Sus scrofa: one gene and its partners. The protein of the gene in region 2 binds, or shares a complex with, the protein of the main gene of each other region. Links are inferred from orthologs where the notes say so. Each region holds a gene or a part of one and is shown on either strand. Other genes may lie near its edges.

What was found.
Region 1: RUVBL2 (region 2) and MORF4L2 share a complex: the UniProt entries of both Homo sapiens proteins name them as parts of the nuA4 histone acetyltransferase complex. The link is inferred for Sus scrofa from reciprocal best matches to the Homo sapiens genes RUVBL2 and MORF4L2.
Region 3: RUVBL2 (region 2) and KAT5 share a complex: the UniProt entries of both Homo sapiens proteins name them as parts of the SWR1-like complex. The link is inferred for Sus scrofa from reciprocal best matches to the Homo sapiens genes RUVBL2 and KAT5.
Region 4: RUVBL2 (region 2) and UXT share a complex: the UniProt entries of both Homo sapiens proteins name them as parts of the PAQosome complex. The link is inferred for Sus scrofa from reciprocal best matches to the Homo sapiens genes RUVBL2 and UXT.
Region 5: RUVBL2 (region 2) and MORF4L1 share a complex: the UniProt entries of both Homo sapiens proteins name them as parts of the nuA4 histone acetyltransferase complex. The link is inferred for Sus scrofa from reciprocal best matches to the Homo sapiens genes RUVBL2 and MORF4L1.
Region 6: RUVBL2 (region 2) and POLR2E share a complex: the UniProt entries of both Homo sapiens proteins name them as parts of the PAQosome complex. The link is inferred for Sus scrofa from reciprocal best matches to the Homo sapiens genes RUVBL2 and POLR2E.
Region 7: RUVBL2 (region 2) and PFDN2 share a complex: the UniProt entries of both Homo sapiens proteins name them as parts of the PAQosome complex. The link is inferred for Sus scrofa from reciprocal best matches to the Homo sapiens genes RUVBL2 and PFDN2.

The regions. Positions count from the first base shown.
Region 1 is NC_010461.5:84,563,427-84,567,816, forward strand, and holds the start of MORF4L2 (mortality factor 4-like protein 2), read right to left. Parts: upstream 2,879-4,390; 5' UTR 2,739-2,878; intron 1,615-2,738; exon of another isoform or gene 1,334-1,614; intron 1-1,333. UniProt on the Homo sapiens protein: Component of the NuA4 histone acetyltransferase complex which is involved in transcriptional activation of select genes principally by acetylation of nucleosomal histone H4 and H2A.
Region 2 is NC_010448.4:54,260,256-54,264,009, forward strand, and holds the end of RUVBL2 (ruvB-like 2), read left to right. Parts: coding exon 1-68; intron 69-424; coding exon 425-519; intron 520-621; coding exon 622-740; intron 741-1,883; coding exon 1,884-2,003; intron 2,004-2,379; coding exon 2,380-2,509; intron 2,510-2,882; coding exon 2,883-2,997; intron 2,998-3,125; coding exon 3,126-3,151; 3' UTR 3,152-3,237; downstream 3,238-3,754. UniProt on the Homo sapiens protein: Possesses single-stranded DNA-stimulated ATPase and ATP-dependent DNA helicase (5' to 3') activity; hexamerization is thought to be critical for ATP hydrolysis and adjacent subunits in the ring-like structure contribute to the ATPase activity.
Region 3 is NC_010444.4:6,569,175-6,573,727, reverse strand, and holds the start of KAT5 (histone acetyltransferase KAT5), read left to right. Parts: upstream 1-1,508; 5' UTR 1,509-1,523; coding exon 1,524-1,701; intron 1,702-2,026; coding exon 2,027-2,095; intron 2,096-2,181; coding exon 2,182-2,318; intron 2,319-2,590; coding exon 2,591-2,746; intron 2,747-2,836; coding exon 2,837-2,911; intron 2,912-3,014; coding exon 3,015-3,089; intron 3,090-3,560; coding exon 3,561-3,809; intron 3,810-3,890; coding exon 3,891-3,980; intron 3,981-4,553. UniProt on the Homo sapiens protein: Catalytic subunit of the NuA4 histone acetyltransferase complex, a multiprotein complex involved in transcriptional activation of select genes principally by acetylation of nucleosomal histones H2A and H4.
Region 4 is NC_010461.5:42,175,393-42,178,402, reverse strand, and holds the end of UXT (protein UXT), read left to right. Parts: intron 1-1,888; coding exon 1,889-1,952; intron 1,953-2,165; coding exon 2,166-2,216; 3' UTR 2,217-2,261; downstream 2,262-3,010. UniProt on the Homo sapiens protein: Involved in gene transcription regulation. Acts in concert with the corepressor URI1 to regulate androgen receptor AR-mediated transcription. Together with URI1, associates with chromatin to the NKX3-1 promoter region.
Region 5 is NC_010449.5:48,070,538-48,074,302, forward strand, and holds part of MORF4L1 (mortality factor 4-like protein 1), read left to right. Parts: intron 1-1,643; coding exon 1,644-1,732; intron 1,733-2,232; coding exon 2,233-2,405; intron 2,406-2,609; coding exon 2,610-2,694; intron 2,695-3,765. UniProt on the Homo sapiens protein: Component of the NuA4 histone acetyltransferase (HAT) complex which is involved in transcriptional activation of select genes principally by acetylation of nucleosomal histones H4 and H2A.
Region 6 is NC_010444.4:77,329,493-77,333,693, forward strand, and holds the start of POLR2E (DNA-directed RNA polymerases I, II, and III subunit RPABC1), read left to right. Parts: upstream 1-1,262; 5' UTR 1,263-1,393; coding exon 1,394-1,450; intron 1,451-2,787; coding exon 2,788-2,962; intron 2,963-4,201. UniProt on the Homo sapiens protein: DNA-dependent RNA polymerase catalyzes the transcription of DNA into RNA using the four ribonucleoside triphosphates as substrates.
Region 7 is NC_010446.5:89,325,267-89,329,597, forward strand, and holds the start of PFDN2 (prefoldin subunit 2), read left to right. Parts: upstream 1-1,514; 5' UTR 1,515-1,573; coding exon 1,574-1,648; exon of another isoform or gene 1,649-1,791; intron 1,792-4,331. Other genes in the region: NIT1 (nitrilase homolog 1), read right to left, coding at 1-94, 204-458, 715-813, 1,383-1,435. UniProt on the Homo sapiens protein: Binds specifically to cytosolic chaperonin (c-CPN) and transfers target proteins to it. Binds to nascent polypeptide chain and promotes folding in an environment in which there are many competing pathways for nonnative proteins.

The DNA of each region.
Region 1 (4,390 bases), on a different chromosome or scaffold from region 2:
AAGATGACAAATAACGTACAAGTGTTTTTTCCTTTCTTATGGTTACATTTTCAAATTTACCTTATTTCTGATAAACTAATTTACCCTGATTTCTGATAAACTAGTTTGTTTTTGCCTTTAAAAAATTTTAATTAAGGATAATTGCAAATGGATAAAAATGTAGAGGGAATAATATTATAAGCCTATGCGAATCTATCCTCCAGCTTCAACAATTACCAACTGAAGGCCATCTTGTTTTATCTATAACCCCACCCACTGCTCCCCCCCCACTCCGTTTTTTTCAAGCTCAGTGAATAGCTGACTTTCTGTATTTTATTATGGAAAATTTCAAACATATACCAAGAAAGCCAGTATAATTTAAGAAATCATATATGCCCATCACTCAGCTTAAACGATTAACTTAGGGCCAATTTGGTTTCATCTATACCCCTCCCCACGTCCCCCTACCGCTGAGATTATTTTGAAGCAAATCATAGATATCAACATATTTTGAAGCCAATCTCAGACATTTTACTATTTAATCCGTATTTTCATATATATTGCTACAAGCTAAAGACAATTTGAAACCATAACCACAATACCATTTTAACGTCTAAAACATCGTCATCAATTTCCCCCAAAAAATCGAATTTGAATACGACTTCAAAATATCCCGATGCATCTTAAACAGTTTTTTAAAAAAATATAGTTAATGTGTCCGAATCAGGATCCAAACAAGGCCTACTCATCGCATGTGGTTCATCTCCAGCTCGCTCATTCTCCATCTCTCCCCACCCCCATCCCCCCCGCCGCTTTTTTTTTAAACTTTTCAATATGGAAAATTCCAATCCCCGCTATTTTGAGGCAATTCCCAAATAAACTATTCCATCGGTAAAAACTGATACGTCTCTTTTATATCTCGAATTTCTTCTAGGGGAGGAGATGATGGGCAGGAAAAACACTATAATGAACGACTTTACATAATTTATGTTTTCTTTCTCTATTACGCGTTTTTTTCTCTCCATAATAACAGCTAATATCTTCCGGAGTCAGGCTTCATATTAAGTTATTAAGCGTATTATATTATATTACTTTGCATTCGTTAGTTATACGCACTAATATACAGCACACGCCTCTGAGGCACACGTCTCTGAGGTAGATACTATTATTATCACCATTTTACAAACATGGAAACCGAGACACAGAAAGAACGGGAGCCAGCCCAAGCTGGGCGTTGGCGAGTAGGCATTTGAATCTAGCTCTGCCTGATTGTGAAGCCATCAGTTAATCTTGTCTATATACGCAACGATAAGAGGAAATCGGCAACCCTTTCTCCCCACCCCCACCCCGAAACCTGAAACGAGAATCCAGTTCTTTCCAGCAGCCGACGTGTGATCACTGCCGACCCTCCAACCGCCATAGTAAAGCCAGGTTTCTCTGGCAACTGATATCCATAGGCAGACACGTCACCCTGGAGGCGGGCTTACGCCCTCTAGCCAATCACAATCGTCTTGCCTAAGTTTTAGAATGTTCCATAACCAAATGATTGGTGGAAGCCCACCACGTCAGCAATGACACTTAGCCGCAGTAAAGGCGGGTGCTAGCAACCTGCTTCTTCACGGTTAAGACTTGAGGAAAACCAATCACCTTCCTCCTTTAGTGCGGACTGTGGCCAATGACGTTCGCCCTCTTAGGTTCTTAGCCCGCCCCCCAAAAGCGCGACAGCAGTTGGGTCATAAGTCTATAGGGCAGGGTGTTCACGTGGCCTATTTTCACGACCCAGAGTTCCTCTGACCAGAGGTTTTTTCTTTTTTTTTTTTTCTTTCTTTCTTTTTTTTTTTTTTTTTTCCTGCAGGGAGGCATTATGGGTTTTTTTTCCACTGGGAAAGGAAGTGTCTACGTGGCCTGCGGAAACAGGATGGGCGGAAATGAGCTAAAGTTCCCGCGAGTGGGGAAGCGCGAGGTCAAATCTGGGGCCACGCCCCCAACCTCTTGCGCAACTCTTGGAGAAAAAAAAAAAGGCAGAGTGGGGTTTCGGTGTGTATGCTGGTGGCGGGTGGCGGCGTGCTGCGGCCGTGTGGTGTCAGGGCCACGGCGTTTGTGCGCAGGCGAGCCCGCGTGGCCTTGGGGATGGCTTATGCGCGAACGCCAGGCCTCGTGGCGTTGGAGGCGGGTGTGCGCAGGCGTGCGCCCCTAGCGTTGGGGCCGTTGTGTGTCGCCGAGCGGGTGCGTGCGCCTTCGTGTGTGTGTGTGTGTGTGTGTGTGAGTGTGTGTACACGCGCGCGCACGGATGTGTGCGGGGGCGCGCGCTCTGTAAGAATCGTTTTCTACTTTCGTAGGTTTGAATATTGTTCTGATGAAAAGGAAAATCATTAAATAGTTAAGGCAAGGCGACCGTAACTAAGATAAAGGGTCTTTGCTAGGGATATTTCGATCTCTCATCGATTTAATTTTAAACCCTAAAATTACACTTTCTTCCCACGTTTTTTTCCGTGTCAAAATCCTGTATTAAACCCTAGCCCTCCAGTGGTTAAAAGCCGAACCTTCCCGTTCCTATATTAGCAATTCCACGAAACAGTTTCTTTCCTGTTCCCTAATAACCTTCTCCCCACCTCTTACCCGCTCCCTCCCCTCCCCCCTTCCCCAAGTTTTGTACAATTCTCTTGGCACAAACAATTTTCTGCAGAGAATATCTATATACAACAGACTTCCCCTCCACTAGGGACTCCCAATTTCTGTAGGAGTTGAGGCTCTCTTACCTTTCACTCCTGATCTCCAAGCAGTGTGCTCTTCAGGCAAGTACGCGCTCAGTTAATTTTCCAGAAAGTTCTCTGGATGAGGTTTATACCTTTTGCATCTGCCACTAGATGCCGCCAAATTCCATCAAAGGATTGGCTGTTTGGTCCCTGGAATTATGGGATTCCCCCCCCCTTTCTGATTTGCTGAACTCTTCAATCTATAGAAATCACTCATATATATTTCATTGCTGGGGAAAAATCAATTTAATTTCTGTTAATTGCTCTATCAGGAGACTATGGCCCTAGATACAAATGTTTTACCTCATTTCCTTATTAAAAAAAATCACCCCTCCCATTCTTCTTTCTTTCTTGCCTTTTTTTTTTTTTGCCAGGGGTGGGCAGTCAGAACTGATGAAAGACTTGAGGTACTGGTGCTGATGAAGATTGGAAGCGTCTCTGGGGTTAGGATCTTCACTTCAAGTGCTTCCCTCACCCTTACCCACCCCCACCCCAAGTGAAAATATAGATGGCTTGTTTAGTTAGTAAAGACATACATCTTTACTGGACTTGGACCCAATTACTGAAAACTGATTTTCTTTTCCTCTTGAAATTATGATTAGGTATGTGTTTCTACCCTGTTTTCTGTAGTGGTACTGGTAAACCGTATTATGTTTTTGGAGTCAAAGACCTGATTTTAAACCTTACTCCACCATTTACTAGTTCTGAGGCCCTGGGATTTATATGCTGTGCTTTCAGGTTTTTTTTTGCATGCCTTCTGTGTTTTAGGTAGTGTTACCATATTCTTCACACAGATATTCTTTTCTTCTTCACAAAATCCTTATTAGATGGATACTAATCAAAATCAAACAAAAGTTGTACCTCTTTCAGTTATAGATCCTATACATGTGTGCATGCACGCAGGTATGCGCTCATAAATACGCACACATACACCCCCCCCCCCCCCCGGGGAATGGGTGAGGTTTAGAGCAGAGGTTCTCAAAGTGTGTTTCCCAGACTCACCGGTAGCATCATTATCACCTTTTGGGAAGTTGTCAGAAATTTATAGTCTCAGGCCTCACCTCCAACCTAACCAGTCAGAAATTCTAGGAGTAGGGTTTGGCTTTCTGTGTTACGACAGATAACAAACTGTTCTGGTTATTCCAGCGCACACCGAAGTTAAAAAGCACTGCTTTGAAGAGCAGAAATAAAATGCTTATTTTTGTACACTCCACTAGAGGGTGCTGCAGAATGTAAAGCCAAAAAAAAAAAAAAAAAAAAAAAAAAAAGTACATGTTCTATTGAGACACCCTGCATGTTCTCTGTCCCGTTTCACAGATTAAAAATTATTGTGTAGCAGAGTCAATTATTTTCTCAAGTGCATACAGAAGTACAGGAACCAGGATTGAACTTTACCTGCCCCTTGAACTCAAGCCCTTGCCAGTACTCTGTTATTCAGCCAAAACAGCTTGTCTTTCAGGGTCTCAAAATACATTACAGATACCTTGTTTTCTGCTTTGGCTACTGTTGATTAGAGCATCAAGAAGAGGGCAGGGAAATGGAAATATTTAGATGATTTCATACCTTCCCTTATCTCCATTCTATAGATACCACATAAAATCTCATGTGTTTCCTCTCTTGCTTTTATGTTTCCCAAATGCTCTCTCTACCCTGCA
Region 2 (3,754 bases):
CACCGTGTCCCTGCACGAGATCGATGTCATCAACTCCCGCACCCAGGGCTTCCTGGCCCTCTTCTCAGGTGAGGCCGTCTGTCCACCCACCCAACCCCCGGCCCCGAGCTCCCTCTTCCCACCTGCCAGTGCCCATGGCGTCCCCGTCTCCTCTGTATCTTTTTCTCCTTCGGTGTGTGGTTTGCCCCCTCCCCACTCCTGCCTGAGTCCTTCTCTCAGGTGGTCTGACGGGGGCGCCCCTGTACCCCCTCTGCCTCTGTTCTTCCTCTCTGGGGCCCCTCCGACTCCCCGGCCCTCATGTCGCGTAGCCACTCCAGTCTGGGTCTCTCTTCCCTCTGTGCCCGGCCTCCCATCTCTCTGGGTCATCGTCCCGCCTCCGGCCCTGGATCCCTGTCTCCTCTCTGACACCCCCCACAACCGGCAGGTGACACGGGGGAGATCAAGTCAGAAGTCCGAGAGCAGATCAACGCCAAGGTGGCTGAGTGGCGGGAGGAGGGCAAGGCGGAGATCATCCCTGGCGTGAGTACCTGGCCGAGGCCACGGCAGGCGGCCCGCGGGGGTTCGCAGGAGAAGAGGGGGCGCGGGAGGTGGATTTCATGTCCCCCCCCCGATGGCCCCCAGGTGCTGTTTATCGACGAGGTCCACATGCTGGACATCGAGAGCTTCTCCTTCCTCAACCGGGCCCTGGAGAGTGACATGGCACCTGTCCTCATCATGGCCACCAACCGCGGCATCACCCGGTGAGAACGGGCGTGCTGGGTGGCAGGAAGGCCACAGGGTTAAACAGGCCAGGGCTGCGGAGCACCTCGTTGGGGAGCTGCGCTGCTGTAGTGGGCTGCCCTCGGGCGCTGGGGCCCGGGCGGCTGGCGTACTTTCCCTCAAACAAAAGCAGGCGAGCGCTCGGGGCTGGTGGGTGCCCAGCTGCACAGGCGCTCTGGGACCCAGCATGCTCTGTCTTTTCTTGTTCCCAGAGGCCTCAAGGTTACAGATTCCAAACTGTGTGCCCAGGCAGGCACGCGGGGTGCTGCAGAGAACACAGGAGTGCTGTGGGTGTTTTCAAATGTTTGAGGGACACCTCGTGACATGAGTCGGGTGCTCTGTAAACCACTCCAATTAAGTCACTTAGATCCAACTACTTAGGAATAAACAGAACAAAACTTATTCCCCTTGGCCCAAGGATGCTAAGGAAAAATTCCTGACAGAGTTCCCCTTGTGGCTCAACAAGTTAAGAACCCAACTACTATCCATGAGGATGTGGGTTTGATCCCTGGCCTCACTCAGTGGGTTCAGGCCATTAGCTGCAGTGTAGGTCGCAGATGGGGCTCTGAGCTGAGCCCGTGTTGCTATGGAATCTGCTAGAGTTCCTGCTGTGGTGCAGTGGGTTCAGGATCCAGTGTTGTCTCTGCAGCAGCGTGGCTTTGATCCTCAGTCTGGTGCAGTGGGTTAAGGATCCAGAGTTGCTGCAGCTGCAGCTCAAGTTCAGTCCCTGGCCGGGGAACTTCCATATGATTCGGGTGTAGCCAAAAAAAAAAAAAAAAGGAATCTGCTGTTTCCTGGCACCTGCCATGTGCAGCAGGGGACAGGACTGTGCCAGTGGAGCTCTGTGTCAAGCAGAGAAGCGGGACCTTGAGCCGCTAATCCCAGACATAGATCTCTAGCTAAATCCAGCCCAGCTCTAGAGGGGGAGGGATGCAGTCAGGGGCCGGCTGTGCTGTCAGGCGGTGACGCCAGCCGGCCGGGAGCTGAAGGCCAAGCGAGTGGTATTTGACCCAGTGAGTGGGCCATGGCGGAAGGGGTGGGGAGGGCTGTCCGGGTAAGGGGAATGGGGAGCCGGGCTGTTAAGAGCACCACCCTGACCGCCCTCCCTTCCCCCTCCTGCCCAGGATCCGGGGCACCAGCTACCAGAGCCCCCATGGCATCCCCATCGATCTGCTGGACCGACTGCTCATCGTCTCCACCTCCCCCTACAGCGAGAAAGACACAAAGCAGATCCTCCGCATCCGGTGCGGGTGGGGCTGGTGTCCACCCTCTTTGGCCCATGGGGACCCCGAGGTCTGAAGGGGAGGTGGCTGGGCCCGCCAGAAGTCCTGCTGGGCTGGGCATCGAAGCAGTGGCCTCTGAGGAGGTTGTGAGGGTTGGAGAAAGGCGGGGGGGTGTTGGTGACACAGCTGGGGGAGGTGAGGGGGAGCCCAGGAGTGGGAGGGTCCGGAGGCCCACCCCAGGTTTAGGCTCAGCCGGTGCCTCAGCGGCCCTTGGCACTCAGCATCCTGTGCCTCTGAGAGTGAGACTCCACGTGGCCCCAGGAGGTGCAGCAGCGCCCCTTGGGGGAGGGCTCTGCGGCAGAGTCTGCACCCTGGCTGACCGCCGCCCCCGCCATAGGTGCGAGGAGGAGGATGTGGAGATGAGCGAAGACGCCTACACGGTGCTGACCCGCATCGGGCTGGAGACCTCCCTGCGCTACGCCATCCAGCTCATTACAGCCGCCAGCCTGGTGTGCCGCAAGCGCAAGGTCAGCGGCTGAGGGCGCCCTGGGGGCTTGGAGCAGTGAGTGGAGGGCCCGCTGGTCCCAGGGCTTTCCCTGGGCCACAGCCTTTCGTCCTAGGACTTGGGTTTCAGAGGCAGGGAGCTTCCGGTCTCTGCGCTTGGTTGCTGTGTCTCCTGGCCGGACGCCCGGGAGGCGCCGGGAGGCGCCGACTGAATAGCTATTGGCTGCACTCCGATGCCGTGAAGTCCCTTTTACAGATGAGCACACCAGGGGTGGAGAGGTGGGGGCCGTGGCCGGGCGGTGGCCCTGCTGGGATTTGACCCCAGGCGACCTGGCCCCAGAGTCGTTGCTCCCGCCCCGGGGGGGCCCCCCCTCTGAGGTCTGGCACCCCCATCAGGGCACGGAGGTCCAGGTGGACGACATCAAGCGGGTCTACTCGCTCTTTCTGGACGAGTCACGATCCACGCAGTACATGAAGGAGTACCAGGATGCCTTCCTCTTCAACGAGCTCAGTGAGTATCGGCCCCGCCGCCCACCGCCGCCCGCCCGCCGGCCCGCAGAGGGAGGGGAGCCCGGCCTGGAGAGCTCGGGCCCTGCCCTCTGGGCCACACCGACCACCTGGCCTTCCTTCTCCCCACAGAAGGCGAGACCATGGACACCTCCTGAGCCCACGTCACCCTCTCCCCCACCTCCCCTGTTTTCTACCAGAGTTCTGACACCGTGACTTTGTATAAAATGGTTCCGAAACTGGGCCCACTGTGTGGGTGTGGGTGTAGGTGTGTACATACGCACGTGCTCACACGCCCCAGCCCCCAGAATAGACAACCCCAGAGTGCAGGTGGAGCAGCCTTTATTGGTGGGGGGGAGCATCTGTGGGCCTGGGAGGCTGAGGCCGGGAGTCCTTAGAGGAAGAGGAGGCCTGGGAGTAGGGGGCGGTCACAGGCCAAGGGTTGGGCTCTGGGACCCCCACAGTCAGAGCTGCTGAGGCGGCAGGGCCCGCAGTGACAGCTGAGAGCCACGGGGAAGGAGACCGTTGGGTCCACGCCAGGCGGGCAGCCAGGGAGGCGGATGGAGGCAAAGCTCAGCTCTCGGTAGGTGCACACCGGCTGGGGCACGGGTGGCAGGGCAGCCGGCAGCACCCGCACCTGTAGGGGGTGGGGGCGGGGCTTGGGTGTCTACCTGGGGCCCAGCCCTCCCCCAAGGTCCCCCCTCAGTACCCCACAGACCCCAGACTCAGGTGTCCAGGGGACCCTCTGTGTTCTCCCACCC
Region 3 (4,553 bases), on a different chromosome or scaffold from region 2:
GGGGAGGAATACGCCTGCTGTGTTCTAGAAACCCTGGGAGGTCAGTGTGGCTAGAGTGAAGTGAGTGGGGTGAGAGAAATGCTGACGGGCTGAATGGGAGAAGAGCAGAGGTCTTCTTGACTTCAAGGTTTTTGGTCTGAGAAACTGAATGGACCAGCTCATCAGTGAGGGAGAAGAAAGAAGGTGGGAGGAGAAACCAGAAAGGCAGATCTGGAGTTCAGTTCAGGACATGCCCCTGGTACATCCAAATGGGGGTGTCGAGTAGGCAGAGAAAGTCGAGGGAGATCTGGGCTGAAGATACAAATTTGAGAAACCTCAGAAACCTGGGAGCGGCCTTAAAAAGCAAACAAACAAACAAACCAACCCATTCTTAGTACATTTGCTGTAGGAAAGCTAGCAGAGGGTTGGATTTGGCCATTTTGCCTATCTGGCCCTTTCCTTCACCTGGTGCTTTTTTTCTTCTTTGAGGGGGCTTTCTCAAAACACTTATCATTATTTAATAGACTAGATAATTTATTTTTTAACGCTATTAACCAGGTGTTACCTATGCCCCTCTTTTCCCTCCCAACCTCCAAGAAGGTAAGCTACAAAAGGAGGGAATCCTTGGGAGTCCCCATCATGGCTCAGCGGTTAACGAATCTGACCAGGAACCATGAGGTTGCAGGGTCGATCCGTGGCCTGGCTCAGTGGTTTAAGGACCCAGTGTTGCCTTGAGCTGTGGTGTAGGTCGCAGACGCGGCTCGGATCCCAAATTGCTGTGGCTCTGGTGTAGGCCGGCGGCTACAGCTCTGAATCGACCCCTAGCCTGGGAACCTCCATATGCCGTAGAAGCGGCCCTGGAAATGGCAAAATGACAAAAAAAAAAAAAAAAAAAAAAAAAAAGGAATTCTTTATTTACTGAGGTATTCCAGGCTCCTAGAACAGTGCCTGGTACGTGGCAGGTGATTTACTACACATTTGTTGAATGTATGCATGAATGATGTATTACTCCTGTAATTAGCAACCTACTATACAAAACAACAAACCTACAAACCTTCCGTGAGTTCCCAACCCCAAGGAGTTAGGGCCACAAACTTGGCGAGGGTTTTAAGTCCCTCAAGTCCCACCCACTTCTCCAGCCCCTCAAACCCTCAAGACCCGCCCCAACCCCCAGCCGGGCACGCGCAGTTCACTCCCCGAGACGCATCCTGCGGCCACTAGGAGACGCCCAAACCCGGCCGCCGGCGAAGCAAACACCAGTCCCACGTGACCGGCGTCGCACCCGGTGAGCGTCACGTGACGGACTCAGTTTTCCTCCAATCGTTGTGCACGTTGTGGGGATTCCACCGAAGACCTGGTTTGAGACTTACAGTACCCTATTCCCCCGCCAGCCAAACGGGCCGGCTCCATGAGCAAGCTGGGTTGCGGGGTCTCTCCAGGGTCCTCTCCTGAAGCCGGTTTGGAGAGACCTGGGCCTACAAAGTGCTCGGTCCCGGAAGTGACGTCTCCCAGAGGGGCCGGAAGTGGCAGTGGAGGGAGGGAAGATGGCGGAGGTGGTGAGTCCGGTGCCCGGGGCGGGGCGGAGGGAGCCAGGGGAGGTGGGTAGAGCCCGAGGCCCCCCAGTAGCCGACCCTGGCGCCGCGCTGTCTCCCCAGGGGGAGATAATCGAGGGCTGCCGCCTGCCCGTGCTGCGGCGGAACCAGGACAACGAAGATGAGTGGCGTGAGTGACGTCGGGGGGCGGGGCTAAGGAACCTGAGGGCGAGGGGCGGGGGGAGTCAAGCGAACCCCAGGGAGGGGGAGGGGCCTCTAGAATCTTGGGGCGGGCGGGGCGCAGATATTCACGAGGGGCGTGGCTTTTAGCCGCTGGAGATGGACAGGGCGGGGCTTGGAGAAGGGAATGACACTTGGTGACTAATGGGGGCTTGGGCGAGAGCTTCCAAGTGCTGAGGCTCAGGGATCGGGCCTGGAGGTGGAGTTCAGGTTGTAGAAGGGCGGAGCCTCATGGCCTGGCCGCTCTAAGGCCGTTCCCTGTGCTGTGCCCACAGCCCTGGCCGAGATCCTGAGCGTGAAGGACATCAGTGGCCGGAAGCTTTTTTACGTCCATTATATTGACTGTGAGTTCTGGGCCGGGATGAGGTGGGGCTAGGGTTGCGGGGGGCAGCCTCTGGCACTCCTTCCTGAGCCATCCCCACTGCTGCAGTCAACAAACGCCTGGATGAATGGGTGACTCATGAGCGGCTGGACCTAAAGAAGATCCAGTTCCCCAAGAAAGAGGCCAAGACCCCCACCAAGAACGGACTTCCTGGGTCCCGCCCCGGCTCTCCAGAGAGAGAGGTGGTGAGTAGGTCCCCTGCTTCAACTTTTCTCTCCTGCCTCCTACTTCTCTCATCTCTTGGCCTCAGTGGCTCCCAGCTGGGCAGGAGGCTGTGCCCTCCCACCCTGGCTTCAGCTCGCAAAGGATGGGGGCCAAATTGCAGATGTAGCTTCCAGAGTCCAGCGTCCTTGAGAGGGGCGGGGTTTGATCATTACACACTGAGGGGCCCCTACTCCCCTTCCCCATCCCACCACCATCCCCACCCCAGAGGAAGACCCTGGACCTATCTCTACAGCCGGCCTCCGCCCAGGCCAGCGGGAAGACCTTGCCAATCCCGGTCCAGATCACACTCCGCTTCAACCTGCCCAAGGAGCGGGAGGCCATTCCCGGTGGCGAGCCCGACCAGCCGCTCTCCTCCAGCTCCTGCCTGCAGCCCAACCACCGCTCAACGGTACCCTCAGCAATTCCAGGGACCTTGCTTTCCTCTCAGGTCCCACCTTCCCTACCTTCTGACCCACCTTTCTTGGTTTCTCTTCTGCAGAAACGGAAGGTGGAGGTGGTTTCACCAGCAACTCCGGTGCCCAGCGAGACAGCCCCGGCCTCAGTTTTTCCCCAGGTGAGTCCCCCAAACCATCTCTTTTTCCCTCCCCTTCTACCTTCTGGTAGCCCCTTTCAGGTGCATCTCACAGCTACTCCTTTTTCTTTCATCTCACCTTCAGAATGGATCAGCCCGTAGGGCAGTGGCAGCTCAGCCAGGGCGGAAGCGAAAATCAAATTGCTTGGGCACTGACGAGGTGGGTCTGGGGAAGAGGGAAGCGGGGTGAAAAGTAGGGGACAGGGGGTTCCCTAGGTGGGTAGCAATTGGAAATCAGTGTGCGCTCACTGCTGTGCCCCTGGGTTCAATTCCTGGTTTGAAAACTGAGATTCCCACATCAAGCCACTGCATGTTGTAGCTAGGAAAAAAAAAAAAAAAAAGGAGTGGACGTAGGCAGGGCAGAGAGTTCAGTGACTCGTTGGAAGATGAACAGAGTGTGCTGGGTTGAGGTGGTGTTGGGATTAGGAGTGAGGCAGAACTGGTTCAGATCAAGCATTGGGTCATCTTTTCCAGTTTCCAATGAAAATTGTCCAAGTCTTGGTTTCTTTAACTGGAAAGTAGGGGTTATGGTATCTTCCCCACTAGGAAACCCGTGGGAGGGCTGTGAGCCAGAGAGTGTCCTGCTTGAGTTGTCTCCTGTAACCTGGCGTCTTTCCGTGGCCCCGGGCAGGACTCCCAGGACAGCTCAGACGGAATACCCTCGGCTCCTCGCATGACTGGGAGCCTGGTGTCTGACCGCAGCCACGACGACATCGTCACCCGGATGAAGAACATTGAGTGCATCGAGCTGGGCCGGCACCGCCTCAAGCCGTGGTACTTCTCCCCGTACCCGCAGGAGCTCACCACCCTGCCCGTCCTCTACCTCTGCGAGTTCTGCCTCAAGTACGGCCGAAGCCTCAAGTGTCTGCAGCGTCACTTGGTAGGAAGGGTCCCAGGAGGCCGCCTTCCTAGCACCCCTGCCCTGCCCTGGCCCTGCCCCTGATTCTCCTCTCCTTCTCAGACCAAGTGTGACCTGCGACATCCTCCAGGCAACGAGATTTACCGAAAGGGCACCATCTCCTTCTTTGAGATCGATGGTCGTAAGAACAAGGTCAGTGGCTCAGGGGCCGTGGGGAGTCTTTGGTGCAGGGAGTCAAGTGAGTGGCCTTTTCCAGCTCAGGAAAGCACTGACCATTTTGGCTAACAGATCTATTCACCCCATTTATTCACTTAGGGCAGGTGTGGGAGATACAGAGTGACCAGCAATTAGACAGGATCTCTGCTGAGGGCTCACAGGAGAAGGCAGACATGCTAGGGGCTTCTTAGATCCTAGCGTGATACATGTCGTGAGACAAAGTGTGAGTTATCAGGATCCAGAGGAGGGGACCTTTGAGCCTGGGTAAGGGGGGTACAGGAATCCGAAACCATGGGTTCTGAAGGGGAGGAATGGATGGCTCTGCAGGTTCAGTTCCAGACCAGAGCAATGAAGCAAATATCATAATAAAGCAGTCACACAAGTTTTTTTGGTTTCCAAATAAGATTTATACTTATACTACGCTGCAGTCTATTACATATATAGGAGTGTCGGAGTTCCCGTTGTGGCACAGTGGTTAACGAATCTGACTAGGAACCATGAGGTTGTGGGTTCGGTCCCTGCCCTTGCACAGTGGGTTAAGGATCCGGC
Region 4 (3,010 bases), on a different chromosome or scaffold from region 2:
TTCGGGGGAGAGGGCTGGACTGAAAATATAAATTTGGGGAGTTCCCTGGCGGCCTGGTATTTAAGGACCTGGTGTTGTCACCACTGTGGCTCGGGTTGCCACTGTGGCACAGGTTCTATCCCTGGCCGGGGAACCTCTGCATGCCCCCACCCCAGCCAAAGAAGAAAATACAAATTTGGGAGATAGTGGAGTTCCTGCTGTGGTGCAGCAGGATCGGCCACATCTCTGCAGCACCAGGCTGCAGGTTCGATACCCAGCCCGGCACAGCGGGTTAAAGGATCCAGTGTTGCTGCAGCTGCAGCATAGATAGCAGCTGTGGCTTGGATCTGATGCCTAACCCAGAACTCCATATGCTGCGGGGGAGCCAAAATAGAAAAACTGGGGGGAGATAGTGATACATAAATGAGTTTACACTCTTTTTTTTTTTTCCAATTTAACATCCTATGTCGTTGCCTTCTACTTTTCTTAACAGTATTTAGTTTCCCCAAAACTGACTCTTACGTTGACAGGATAACTCGGCACAATAGAATCCACCTTCCTTATCAGGATATCAAGACCGTGCATGATCTAGCCCTTGCCTACCTCTTGGATCTTGTGCCACTTTCCTTCCACCATTCACTTACTTTCTAACACTGGCCTCCTGATTGCTCCTCTAGAAGCTCTTTCCGGCCTCTCGGACTTCTTGTGAAAGACTGTCCTGTTTAACTCTTACTCATTCTTCAGAAAGGCCTTCTTTTATCCTTTGCATCACTTAGGCTTCTTTTGGGTGAGCCTGGTCGCAGTTGGCTTAGATGTCAGGAGGTAGGAATGGGCTGGTTGGCGTAGCTCAACAGCCCAGAGCCAGAGTGGTCCCGCTTTCCAGTTGCTTTAAGCCTTGGTGTCTTCCTTGAGTCCTCTCTCTCTTGCATCCAACATCCTCCTTTGGTAAATCCTATTGACTCTACCTTCAAAGAAGTATCCCAGCTCCAATCATTTCTCATCCCCTCAACCGCTGCCACTGCGGTCCGAGTCTGCATCTCTCACCTGGACGATTCCGACAGCCTCTGCAGTGGCCTTCCTCTTCCACACCAGCTGTCCTTATCCCCAGTCGGTTCTCCACACAGCAGCCAGATGGATCCTCTGAAACCCTAGTCATTTGACCTCCCTTCTCTGATCACAATACTCCCCTTGCTCCCATCCCACTTAGAGTCAAAGCCAGAGTCCTCACCATGGCCTGGTAGATTTTACACGAACTATCTCCCCCACTTACCTCCGTGACCTCGCCTCCTCTACCTCCCCACTTCACTTTTTCTTCTCCAGCCACACTGGCCTCTTCGCTGGGCCTCAGACATGCCAGGTACGCGCCCACCTCAGAGCCTTTGCACTCTCCACCCCTTGTGCCTGGAACACACATCCTCCATATGTCCACATGACTCGCTTCTTTGTTTTAAGTCTCTACTCAAACGCTTCTCAGTGAGGCCATCCCTAAGCACCCTAATTCGAATTCCAGCCCCCACTCCTGTACTCCCATATCCTCTCTCATTTAATTTTTTTTTCATTATAATTTTAACCATCTGACATACTCCATATTTTACTCCATCATCTGTCCCCCTTAATGAGAATCTGAGCTCCAAGAGGCCGAGATTTTCGTTTGCTATGTCTGCTGCTATCTCCCCAGTACCTAAAACAACCTGGCATAGAGTAGGCATTCAGTAAAGGTCTTGGAATCAGTGTAGTGCAGATGGCGGCCAGGCATGTCTGCCTAGGAGCAGGCCAGGTAGTAGGGGTCCCACCACCTGCCGTGTGGAAGTCATCCAGGACTTAGGCGGTTCTTGAAGCGGTGAGGGCACATCATCCTCACGGATCCTAAGTGGGGCCCACCTCGCCCTTTCTCGTTTCTTTTCTCCAGGCTCAGCGACAGCCTCACCAAGGACTCCATGAATATCAAGGCCCATATCCACATGTTGCTAGAGGTGAGAGCAGCTCACCCCACTCCCAGACTCTATCTCCAAATATTTAGGGTGGTGTCCTGAGGAAGGGAGAGAGCCAGAGATGGGAAGGGCCATCTTTCCCTCCAAATGAGTCAGACAGGAACCAGGCTGGCTCTGAGGGAAGGGAGTTCCAAGCAAGCCTGAGGTGGGGCCTGGACCCAGTCTCCGTTCAATCTCTTCTGTTCTCTTTTTCAGGGGCTTAGAGAACTACAAGGTCTGCAGAATTTCCCCGAGCCTCGCCACTGACTTCTTCCTACCTCCCTTGACATTAAAGAGCCTGAATGTCTTTGAGTCACGTGGCCCTTCTTTCCCCCATTAACTTCTGCTGTTGGCTAAAGTGCCGTTTCTAAAGCACAATGTTACTGGGAGGCGCAGAGATCCAGTCTGTGTAGAATCTTTAAAGCACCACTGAAGTGCCGCCTCCAGCCTGTTTCCTGGCAGAATGTGCCACCTGACTTTCCGCTCTGCCCTCTCTACCATCGCCTTGGCAACCTGGGCCCCCACCTGACCCTTCTTTCTATTTCCTTTCCTGTGCACTACTGCTTGAATTAACCATAGAGAACGGGCCGATTCAGGGTGGCGGTTTGTTCCCTAAGGCAATCAACCTTTCACTCCTGGCCCTAAAGTTTACCCTTCTCCCACACTCCAATCGTTCCTCAGGTAACTTAAATTACACCCACGCCCGTCTAGGCCCAACCTTGGCCTTGTCCCAGCTTCTAAATAGTTACAGCTCCAGCAATGGGCGCAGGGCCGATCTCGCCCGCCCTCCCTGGTCCGGTCCTCATTCTAGGCTGAATCCAGCTTCCGCCAATCGATACAGAGCCAGGTTCCACCCCTTTATTACTGGCTGCAGCTCGACCCTGCCCTTGTAGGCATTTCGTTTCCACCACTCAACACTCCTTCGCACGTCTGGCAGCTGTCCTGCCCTCCTTCCTCTGCTTCGTTCTAAATTCGTCTTTTCTAGCCAATCGCCACAGAGTTAGCCTGCCCGCCTCCGCAGATCCCTGGTCAGACCTCCTCCCAGCGGGGCTGCTAGCCTG
Region 5 (3,765 bases), on a different chromosome or scaffold from region 2:
AATAGGTAGTATAGACTTGAATGTTGAAGGTAGAACCATGTATTTTAATTCAGGGACTGAACAGTTTGATCATTGGAAAGGACCTGGAGAGGAATAAAACAAAAGTACATATATAAAAATCCATGATTTTATAAATCTTAAAAATTAAAAAAATTTAATTTTTGTCTAATGTTTAGTGCTGCACCTACAGCATGGAGAAGTTCCCAGGCTAGGGGTCGAATAGGAGCTGTACCTGCTGGCCTACACCACAGCCACGAGGGATCCAAGCTGTATCTGTGACCTACACCACAGCTCATGGCAGTGCCGGATCCCTGGCCCACTGAGCTAGGCCAGGGATCAAATCCACATCCTCATGGATACTAGTCGGATTTATTTCTGCTGGGCCACAATAGGAACTCCCCTGCAACTTTCTATGTAATGATGTAATATATAAGAAAGGGGAGGGGAGGCACTAAATTCTGTCTCCATGCCTCCTTGCTGCTTTTAACACTTAAATCCCATAAGCAAAGCGACATCATTACTCCTCATTTTACTTTTTCAGAGTCCCAGGCATCGACTTTGGCCCTCTAAGGGCTAGCTCCTGGCTAAGAGGAGGGGAGTCCATATGCGGACCAATAACCCTGCCCAAAGGCATTCGTCCAGCACCCAGTTAGTGTCCTCCCGCCAGTGCCCAGGCCTGGCGGAAGAGGCCTGTCAGCTAGCAGCACCCTCTGGGCCAGGTACCCAGAGCCTGCCCAGCTGTTGTCACTGAGGGAACAAGAGTCCCAGGACCTAGCCAACCCTTGTGCTCCTTAGGCCAAGCAAACTGGTAACCAAGCCCACAGACTGCTACCCAGGAAGACTGTCACACAGTTTGGTTGTGGAGGTGGTGCCTGGGCCCAGCTATTGAGCAGCTGCGGTAAGGGCTCTGGCGCTCTTTAGGACCCAGCCCTCAGCCTGTCCTCAGCCCCCCAGCTTACCTGCTGGCTGGAGGCCATGGGGCTTGGAGGGCCCTGGGGAGAAGGCAGAGATCTGCTTGTCACTGTACTCTACCCCAAGGACTCCCTTTTGGCAGACAGGACTTCTAAGGGTGTCTCACTAAAGGCCAAATGCTGATAGCTACACACCCACCTCACCCCTACCACTGTATTTTCTGGAACTATACTGCTAGGTTTATCTTGATACTACCACCCAGTGAGTTTGGGCAAGTTACTTGGCCTGTTCATGTTTTAGTTTTCATGTTTCTAGTGTAATAATGAGCCCCTACCTCATAGTATTGATGTGAGGTGAAGAAAATATTTAAATACTTAAGATAGCGTCTGCCACATTATGCAATACGGTGCATGATGACTTGGTACTAACACAGTGGTGCGTTTATGTATGGGTACGATCCATATATAGTGATAGTGTAGTGTGTCCAGCACATTGGTTACCAGTCTTTAGAGCTGTGCTGTCCAGTATGGCAACCATTAGTCACATTTGGCTATTGAAATAAAATGAAATTTTTAGTTTCTTAGCCATGTTTTGAGTGCAGAACAGTGCCCTTTTCTGTTTTGTCATACTATTAGGTGATTTTTTTATTGTATTAAAGCTTTTCCAGTAATCTTTCTCTTTTTTTTGAAAAAAGGAAATATTAGTATTAAAGTGTCTTTTTGTTTCCATAGCTGTTTTATCTTCCTGCCAAGAAGAATGTGGATTCCATTCTAGAGGATTATGCAAATTACAAAAAGTCTCGAGGAAACACAGATAATAAGTAAGAACATAAATGTCTTTGAAGTGTACCCAAGGATATTTCAGACATTTCTAAATAAATTATCTGAAACACGTACTTTAAATCAGTACCATCAGAAATTAGCAAAATAGAATTTCATTGCTTTGACACAGGGCCTTTGGCTGGGCAACTTTTTCTTAAAGGGCTGGGTAAGTAAATGTTCCAGGTAAAAACTGAAGCTATTGTATGTAAGTACATATAGAACCATTTAAAATACAGCTATTTTAAAATGTAAAAACCATCCCTAGCCTGAGGTCTGTAGTCTGCTTTCAGCTGGTTTATTTTTGGAATTGGTTTCTTGTCCTCTTTTTAAAATGTTCAGTAGAGGTTGAATTCCTTTTAGTCCTTTTAGTCCTCATGTTGGTTGACCTCATCCTCATCTCTCAGTTCCTTTTAGTCCTCATGTTGGTTGACCTCATCCTCATCTCTCAGTTCTTTTCAGTGACCTGCTTTGAAAGTAAATATTTTTGTTCATTTATCAGGGAGTATGCTGTTAATGAAGTTGTGGCAGGGATAAAGGAATACTTCAATGTAATGTTGGGCACTCAGCTACTCTACAAGTTTGAGAGACCACAGTATGCTGAAATTCTCGCCGATCACCCCGATGCGCCCATGTCCCAGGTGTATGGAGCACCACATCTACTGAGATTATTTGGTAAGAGGATTTTAAATATTTATGTCTTACCTAATTTATATCCAGGTGTAACATAAATTAACATTTTATCACATTTCAACTTGAGCTTTAATGTATAACAATCTACTTAAGGTCAGTTTCTAAAATGAGTGGTCCCATAATTGGGATATATTGTTATAGTGCTACCATGGATGTAACTCTGACTAAAGTCTTTTGTTTAAATAGTACGAATTGGAGCAATGTTGGCCTATACACCTCTGGATGAGAAGAGCCTTGCTTTATTACTGAATTATCTTCACGATTTCCTAAAGTAAGTCTGAAAGTATGTTTGAAATTAGTTCACTGAACTGAAAGTTATTATGTGATAGATTGACACTATAGATATTATAATAAAACAGTGTGATATTGGTATAGGAGTAGATAGTTAATGGAACAAGTATAAAACATACGGGAAAATCACAAATGATAGAATGGTGTATCAGAGCAATATGCCAGGAGGAAATGATGGAGTACTTAGTAGATGGTGATAAGAACAACTGTCTAGTATTTGGAAGGAAACAGAATTAGATCCAGACTTAATATCGTATACCCAAACTAGGTGAGTCAAAATTTAAATCTAAAATTAAAACTATTAAGGTAATAAAAGGGAAAATGTAGGGTAATAATTGATGATTTTATGTAGTAGGGAAAGGTCTTTCTAAAAATTAAATAATACAACAAATGAATGATGAATTGGACTATGTAAGAAGTTTAAGTTCTATGAAAAAAATAGGCTTTTAAAGATGAAGGGAATATATGTTTACATATATGTTAAAGGGCTGGTATCTTTAACACAGAGTTCTTACTAATAAAAAATTGAACAAACCAGTGAAAAGTTGGACATTGGAAATTCATGGAAATGTCAGTAAAAGGACCACCAAATTATGTTTAACATTATAATTAAAATAACCCTTGTCAGATTGGTTTATATTAAAAATATTAGCGAAGTGGAATAAAGGGCAATTCTGGTTTCTCCAGCTTTTTGGAGTGTATTTTGGCAGTGTATATAAAAATTCTAAATGTGTTTTACCCTTCGACCAGACAGTTACTAGGCTTCTGGGAACTTGAATGTACACACACAAAATAAGAATAATGGTGGGAGTTGCTGGTGGCCTAGCTGGGTTAGGGCTCCGGCACTGTCATTGCTGTTGGATGGGTTTTGTATACTGTGGGCACAGCCAAAAGACAAGTATCAGAGTGACCTTAGATGTCAAGTAGTAGAGCACTTTTATAAAGAAATTTGGTTCAAGAGAGGCTATTTATTTGTTGTTGGTAGAGTGAAGACTAAAAAGCTATTTAGATTCCCAGGCTCCTGTTGGTTTTAAAATTACTGTAAAATACA
Region 6 (4,201 bases), on a different chromosome or scaffold from region 2:
ATATTGAATCATTGAATAAATGTATTACCGAGTGAGAAGTTACTGATGGCCTCCACTGACACAGGGGCACTGGGCTGGGCAAACCTCCTGTATGAACCGGGGTGGTGTATGTGTGTGTGTGGGCAGATGTGGAGGTTGTAAAAACATGCACAATCTTGGGGGCTGTGGGGTATCCAGGGGCTGGGGTGGGCCTCAGGGGACTAGGAAAACAGAGATGAGTGCATTTCATAAGCAGTGGGAGCTATGCCAAGCTCCTCCCAAGCTAACAATCCCTTTAGGTCCTCAGCTAATCCTCTAAGACGGGGACACTTTATTATTTCCACTGTACAAAGTGGATAACTGAGGATCTAGGGCATTAAGTTGGACATGGCCCTGAGTCAACTGAGAAAACTCCCTGCAGTTGATCACACAAACACCTACGAACCATCTCTTAGTAAGTACGAACATCCTGGGAACCGAGCGTACCCAAGACCCTGTCAAGGCCTCAGTCTCCCCTTGCTTCTGCCTACCTGAATTTTTTTTTTTTTTTTTGCTGCACCCCCTCAGCATATGAAAGTTCCCAGGCCAGGGACTGAATCCAAGCCGCAAGAGTGATCTGTGCTACAGCTGTGGCAACGCTGGATCCTTAACCCACTGGGCCTGGGATCGAACCCGCGCCTCCGCAGCGAGCGACCCCAGTCACTGCAGGGACAACGACGGATCCTTAGTTCGCTGCCCCACAGCTGGAACTCCTGCCTCGCTGGATTTTTTTTTTCCCCTTAATTTTTTTTTATTACTCAAATGAATTTATCACATCTGTAGTTGTATAATGATCATAACAATCTGATTTCACAGGATTTCCATCCCACAGCCCAATTACATCCCCCCACCCCCTAAACTGTCTCCTCTGGAGACCATAAGTTTTTCAATGTCTGTGAGTCAGCATCTGTTCTGCAAAGAAGTTCAGTCTGTCCTTTTTTCAGATTCCACATGTCAGTGAAAGCATTTGATGTTGGTGTCTCATTGTATGGCTGACTTCACTTAGCATGATAGTTTCTACGTCCATCCATGTTGCTAAGAATCTGCCTCGCTGGATTCTAAACGTCCTCCCTAGGCGGGCGTTGAGCAGAAACTACGCCTCCAGAGAGGCCTTGCATTCAAAACCACGCGAGATCTACCGAGGAGCGGGTGAGTGGTGTTTGCCCTCTTTTCGCGCAGCCAACCGCCGCTTTAGTAAGGCTCGGGCTGCCCTTGGCTCTGCCCCTCCCAAAGGTCGCTGCATTCAGGCTTTAGCTGACTACAGCCCTGTAAGGGTTGGGCGAGGTGGAGGGGGCCTGACAGCGGCGCGGCGCAGGCGCAGTGGGCACGGGTCTTGCCGAGCGCAGGCGCTGTAAGTTCGAGGGGGGCGGCAGCCATGGACGACGAGGAGGAGACATACCGGCTCTGGAAGATCCGTAAGACCATCATGCAGGTGAGACGCGCGGGGGCTGCCCTTAGTACTAAGCGAACGCTGTCCGGCGCGCGGACGGCCAGCGCGAGGCCCGAAGATGGGAACGAGCTTTTCTATGTCTGGCCGCGCGGCTCAGGGGAAGGTTCTGGCCCAGGTGGGGCCCGTATTGGGCCGGGGACAGAGGGGCCCCGCCGACCACTGCTGAGTGGCGAGTCCGAGAGACGCCGGGGAGAGGGTCAGGGTTTCGCTGGAGCTGGAGGGAGGGAATTGGCCTCGCGTGTTCCTCTTTCCGGAAAGTTATGGCACTGTTTTGAGGGCCTGATACAGTATTCCAGGATTGTGGATATGGAAGGATCCCTGGTTAGCTGGTCTCAATGCTGTCTGGTTGCCCTGACAGCGCGCCCTGGCCACCAACTTTGAGCTACTCGGGCTGATAGGCTCCAAGTCATGCCAGCTCCCTAGCTAAGCGTTCTCTGTGTGCCACGTGCTTTAGGCTACTCCACGGGAGGGGGCGATTGTGATCCCACGGAGGCTTCGGGCCTTGACTAAGACCACCCACCCTCGCCACGGCGGGGATCCTGCCTGGACTAAGCTGGGGCAGTGGCACCCATATTCTCCACCTCCTTGCAGTGCTACCCAAAGACAGGGTAGGAACAGCGTTGCTTCAGGCTGACCGTGTCGCGGGCCCTGGGTGAGAAGAGTGAGCGCTCAAGAGGGAGAGTCCGGGAGTTCCTGTTGTGGCTCAGTGGTTAACAAATCCAACTAGGAACCATGAGGTTGCGGGTTCGATCCCTGGCCTTGCTCAGTGGGTTAAGGATCCGGCGTTGCAGTGAGCTGTGGTGTAGGTCACAGACTTGGCTGGAATCCTGCGTTGCTGTGGCTCTGGTGTAGGCTGGTGGCTACAGCTCGGTTTAGACTCCTAGCCTGGGAACCTCCATATGCCGTGGGAGCGGCCCAAGAAATGGCAAAAAGGGAGGAAAAAAAAAAAAAGAGGGAGAGTCCAGCTGTGGGGTACTTGGCTGAAGAAAGGGGATTCCGGCAGAGTGGGTGGCTTTCTCTTTGTCTGGGTGGTCATCCGGTCTGTCCACTCAAAGAATCCCAGTTTCTGAGTCAGGACCTAGATCTGCTGGCCCCCAGGCCTTGGCCTGGTTTTCCAATAGCCTTCTGCCCCAGGCAGCCCAGCAGCACCTCTCCCAGACAGCTGTCCTTTTCTGCCCCAGACCCAAGGGCCTGGCCTTGGAATCAACAGCCCTCCTCACATCCCAGCCCTGCTCCCATCTTCCCTGCAGTGGCCTTGAGCACCCTGAGCCTTTGCTGTTCTCTCTGCACCTTGGTCACCTGATTCTTTTTCTCTGCAGCTTTGCCACGACCGTGGCTACCTGGTGACCCAGGACGAGCTGGACCAGACGCTGGAGGAGTTCAAGGCCCAGTTTGGGGACAAGCCCAGTGAAGGGCGGCCGCGTCGCACAGACCTCACGGTGCTGGTGGCCCATAATGACGACCCCACCGACCAGATGTTCGTCTTCTTCCCAGGTGAGGGCCTGCTCAGGGCAGCAGCAGCCACCTGCCCTGACACGCAGTCTGTACCCCTCATCCTTCTGCCTCTCTGCTGTATGTAGTGCCTCCACTGAGGCAGCCTGGCTCTCAACCCCAAAGGTAGGGGACCATGCTGGGTCACAAGCACCTTGGGGGCCCACCCTGGTGTGCCTCCAGGCAAGGGAGAGTGCAGAAAATGCCTGCTGAGCAGACCCAGAGGGCACTTTTAAGATTTACTTTATTGAATTATGTTTTACAATGTTATGTTCTTTTCTGGTGTATCGTAAAGCGATTCAGTTACATGCACATAATTATTCTTTTTCAAATTCTTTTCCGTTATGGTTTATTATAGGATATTGAATATAGTTTTCTGTGCTGTACAGTAGGACCTTGTTGTATATCCACCGTATGCATATAAGAGTTTGCATCTGAGAGTTCTCTTTGTGGCTCAGTGGTTAATGAACCCGACTAGGATCCATGAAAGAAAAAAAAAGAGTTTGTGCTTGCTAATCCCAAAATCCCTCAGTCCCCTCCCCGTTGGCAACCACAAATCTGTTTTCTATGTGTCTTTCTGTTTCACAGCTCATTTGTGTTATGTCTTATCTTCCACATATAAGTGATACCATGTAGTATTTGTGTTACTTCATTTAGGTTACTTAATATGATAATCTCTGGGTCCATCCATGTTACTGCAAATGACATTATTTCTTTTTGCTTTTTTAGGGCCCCGCCCGCGGTTTATGGAGAGTCCCAGGCTAGGGGTTGAGTGAGAGCTATGCCACAGCCACAGCAGTGCAGGGTCTGAGCTGAATCTTGTGATCTACACCACAGCTCACGGCAATGCCAGATCCTTAACCTACTGAACAAGGCTAGGGATCAAACCTGTGTCCTCAAGGATACTAGTCAGGTTCGTTAACCTCTGAGCCTCGACGGGAACTCCGATATATGTGTTCTTATTGCCATTTTATTAACTGTTTTGGGCTTGGGTTTTTTGTCTTTTTTCTTACCTTCTCTTGTGGCTTGATAACTCTTTTTTTTTTTTTTTTTTTTTTGTCTTTTTGCCATTTTTTTGGGCTGTTCCCACGGCATATGGAGGTTCCCAGGCTAGGGGTCTAATAAGAGCTATAGCCACCTTCTCCACCAGAGCCACAGCAACGGGGGATCCGAGCCGCGTCTGCAACCTACACCACAGCTCACAGCAATGCCGGATCCTTAACCCACTAAGCAAGGCCAGGG
Region 7 (4,331 bases), on a different chromosome or scaffold from region 2:
CAGAATCACATGACAATTGTAGATTTTCTGAGTCTGCTCCCAGTCTTGGCCACGCTCATGGAAACCACCCAAGGACAGCCAGAGTCCACATTCCCTGAGGGGGAGGGGACACTGACAACTCTTCTCAAGTCTCTACCCTCATATCTGGCAATTCCGATATTACCCAAAAAGAAACTACCTCTCCCTCCCCCTTTCCCTGATACCTGGCAAGCTGGGTATATTCTCCCAAAAGTTTCCCACCCAGTGGCTCAGACAGGCGTAGCGTCTCTTCAGGGTCCCTTCCAATGAAGTCAAATGCCTCAGGCAGGAAAGCCAGGCAAGCGCCCAGTCTGGCAGCCTCTCGAACCAGCTCAGCACATGTTTTAAAGTTCTGCTGCTTGTCCGGTGTGGATGTTACCTGGCACACAGCCACGAGGGGCAAGTCCCAGGAGGAAGAGGAAATAGCCATGGATCTGGGTCTGTGAATGGCACAGGCAAGACTCAGATTTCCTAGAGTGGGGAAGCCCGAGTTTAATGATAAGGGGCTTAAAGGGGGAGGCAGGAAAGCTAGACTTCCCTTTAAACCTGCTCTTACAAGGCACAATGATCCATGCAATAAGGACCCACTGATCAAATGTTCTGTGAGTGGCTGGCACCCCAATGTTTCCCAACATCTATTCATTTATTGAGCATCTACTATGTGCCAGGCACTGAGGACACAACAAAACATGTTACCTGGGCTGAGCACAAAGTATTGAGAGTCGAAGTATCCGGAGCCGAGGACCCAAAAGAAGGGACAGGAGCTGGTGAGGAGGCCTGATGATGAAGCCCAGCCTGAAGAAGGTGAGAAATCAGGACACCAACCCCACCATCAAGCAATACATTTCTAAGATCCTTTGGTTTCTCTCTTCATACTGTGAGGCTGAATCTGGGCACCACCGGTAAAAACCCCTAAGTCTTTAAGACACTCGTTAACTATGGTTAATCACGGCTACCGGAAGAGAGCACAAAGTGGGAAAATCGAGGAAAGGGCTCTGCGCAGCATTCGAATATCTCGACTTCCAGTGATCTCACATTAAACTGAAGTCCTTTTTCTCAGCCAAACGTTTCCGCAGTTCAAAAGTCATCCTCGAGATATTTCCTTGATTTTCCCAGCCTCTCTTATTGACTGTGCACCTGCACAGTTTTACTGACTCAAAGCATATTTTCCCCCTTCCACCAGAATCTCTGAGAAGTTCACCCTACCCCACCCCGCCGCCCGTGCCTCACCACCCGCTGTGTGGGCAGAGGGCACTGGCACCCAGATCCCAACCCGCGCCCCGCTCTCCAGTTAACCCATCTGGAGACTCTCTCAGGGGCAGCGTCTCTGTTGCACAAGATAAAGCACCACAGGTGTAATTCACCGCGGCGGGCGGGCTAGGTAGCAGGTCCTACATGAAGGCACGGCCAAAACCATTAACAGGATCCGAACCGAACAGGGGCCTGGAAGAAGAGGAGCCTGGCGCCGGGGGCGAGTGGGCGGTAACTCCGAGACCGGACGTGACGCAAGGCGGGGGCCGAGCTGCGCAGGCCGGAAGCTCAGCAGGCGGTGAAGATGGCGGAGAGCAGCAGTCGCGCCGGCAAGAGCAGCGGGAGCGGCGCGGGGAAGGGGGCGGTGTCAGCCGAGCAGGTGAGGAGCTGGGAATGCGAAGGAGGGCAACCCGGCCGGGTCCGGAGTCGATGCGAGAAGAGGGGAGAAGCCTATGGTTGGTGTACGCCTTTACTATAGTCGCACATTTGCGTGGCCACCCAGAGAGGGGAAGGTCCTTGTAGAAGCTAGCCGAGCCCTTGGGGAGAGATAGGCGGATTGGTAGGTGAAAGCCACGCCCCCTTGGGGGTGTTGGGTGAGCCGAGGGGTGGGAGGGAGGAAGCTCTAGGGAAGCAGAGTCTGGGAGGTTGCACAGGTCTGAGGGAAGAAGGGTGGTCACTTTCCCCACTTTGCCTCCGCACTCTCAAACAGGCTGTGGGTGAGCAAGGCCAGTTCATAAGGAATCCCAGGGAGTTAGTCAACGGGTTGATTGTGTAGTCTGTTACGTGACCCTGAAACCACGTTTAAAACCGTCGTCACTCCGCAGAGCCACGTGACTCACATACGCGAATAGTCTAGTGTTCCATACTATTTTGATTCGGGAGTCATTATTGCACTGAATTTATTTAGAGACCAGAAATCCTTTACTAATCCGAGCTTACATTTCCCCAGTGCCTAGCATCCGGAAACGATTGAAAAATAATCAGAAAGCCCTTTGTTGCTTGGGAATCATGATTTACTAATAGTGGATCTAGTGTTTACTTGGAGTGGGAAGAAATCTGCGTAACAGAAAGGAAAACGTAGTTAAAACAACAGCTTTTTTGGTTATAGGTTCATTTATCAGTTATTTGTTAAACAGTTACTGTAGCAGAGGTATCTGCATAAAGATTTTAAAAATTGACCCGTGCAATCAGAGTTCATAGTCTGGAGGGGAAAATGCTAGTATGAGGTAGAAGAGAGATATACAGCCCTATGGGATTTGGGGGAAGGGGGAAGAGAAAATTCCTCTTAGGGGGAAAAAGGCAAGGGAGAAGGAACCTAATACTTTTTGAGGGTCTGCCGTGTGTTAGACATTCTGCTGGGTATGGGGAAACATAAATGAAATACGGCCTTGTAACCTTGTTTTCAGGTTAGCTCACAGACTCATTTGCAAAAAGAAACCAAACATTAAGCTTTACAGTGTTCTTCACAGGGCTTTTTCTTCTTTTTTAAAATTATAGTTGATTTACAATGTTTTACCAGTTTCTGCTGCACAGCAAAGTGACTCAGTGGTACCTATAGGTACATTCTTTTTAAAAATATTATTTTCCATCATGGTCTATCCCAGGAGATTGCATATATCCATTCTAAATGTAATAGTTTGCATATACTAACCCCAAGCTGCCAGTCTATCCCACTCCCTCCCCTCTCCCCCTTGGCAACCACAGGTCTGTTCTCTGTGTCCTCACTGGGCCTTCTGCTAGAGGAGGGACCCCTAACTAACTAAGCAGGAGATTGAGATTGGGGATTGGGTGGTAAAGGGAAGTGTGGAAAAGTGGGGTGGCTAAGAGTGTAAGGAGTGCAATGGGTTCAGACAGATCTGTGTTTGAATTACATTTCTACCTTTCACTGTTACTTTCAGATTAGAGAATTATGAGTTTATGGATAGTGGACAAAGCCATGGTTGTGGAGGAAATCCTCTAGAGTTTGCACAGAAAGTGAACAAAGAAGTAGAATAAGAGTGAAATCAATAGTTAAGTGATGGTAGAGAAAAAGAAACTCAAAAGAGACTGAAGAATTTTGATAATTGAGTTCTGAGGCCATTCCTTGCTTAATATTCTCTGACCTTTTTGTTCCAGAGAGAACACTGGGTAAAAAAAAATATTATAATTGTCACTGCTGCAAATTTGAGCCACATAGGCAAGATGGAAGCAAATAACACATCAAACTAGGCACTTGTTTTATCTTCTGTTATTTAATTACTGCTATTTGAAGTAGCTGTATTATTGTCAGGATGAGTTTCAGACTTAATTAACTTACTCAGAGTCAGTAACTGGGAGAGCAGGGCTTTTAAATGCAGAACTTGTGAATTAGACAGGCCTATTTTTTCTATTTGTACCATGATCATATTAGAGATATTTGAGCTGAGCCTGAAGGATTGGATAGATTGGAACAGGTGGCAGTAGAAATAGAATATAGAGAATCAAGAAAGGAGGGGAGATCTGGGAAAGCATAGATTGAGATGGAGTGCAGTGACTGATTTGTTTTGCTAAATCATGAGTCAGAAAGATGTCCTTAAAACAAGCTGAGTCATTGCATGACAAAGAATTTAGGACTTTTTAACATAAGCAGTGAGGGTGTCATAGAATGATACATGTTATACTGTTGATTTTTTTTTTTTTTTGTCTGTTTGTTTGCCTTTTAGGGCTGCACCCTTGGCATATGGAAGTTCCCAGGCTAGGGGTCAAATTGGAGTTAAAGCTGTTGGTCCTACACCACAGCCACAGCCATGTCAATGCTGGGTCCCCAACCTGCTGAACAAGGCAGGGATGGAACCCATATCCTCATGAATATTAGTCAGATTTGTTTCCACTGCACCACAGCAGGAACTACTGATTTTTTTCTTATTATGTAAAATAATACACGTTAATGTAGAAAATGTAGAAAACACAAGAAAAATTACAAAATAAGAAATAAATTATCCATGATCCTACTATCCAGAAATAACTATCCTTACCATTTTTGAATGTATTTTTTTTTTTTTTTCTTCCCATTTTTAGCTGTCCTGAAGCACATGGAGCTCCCG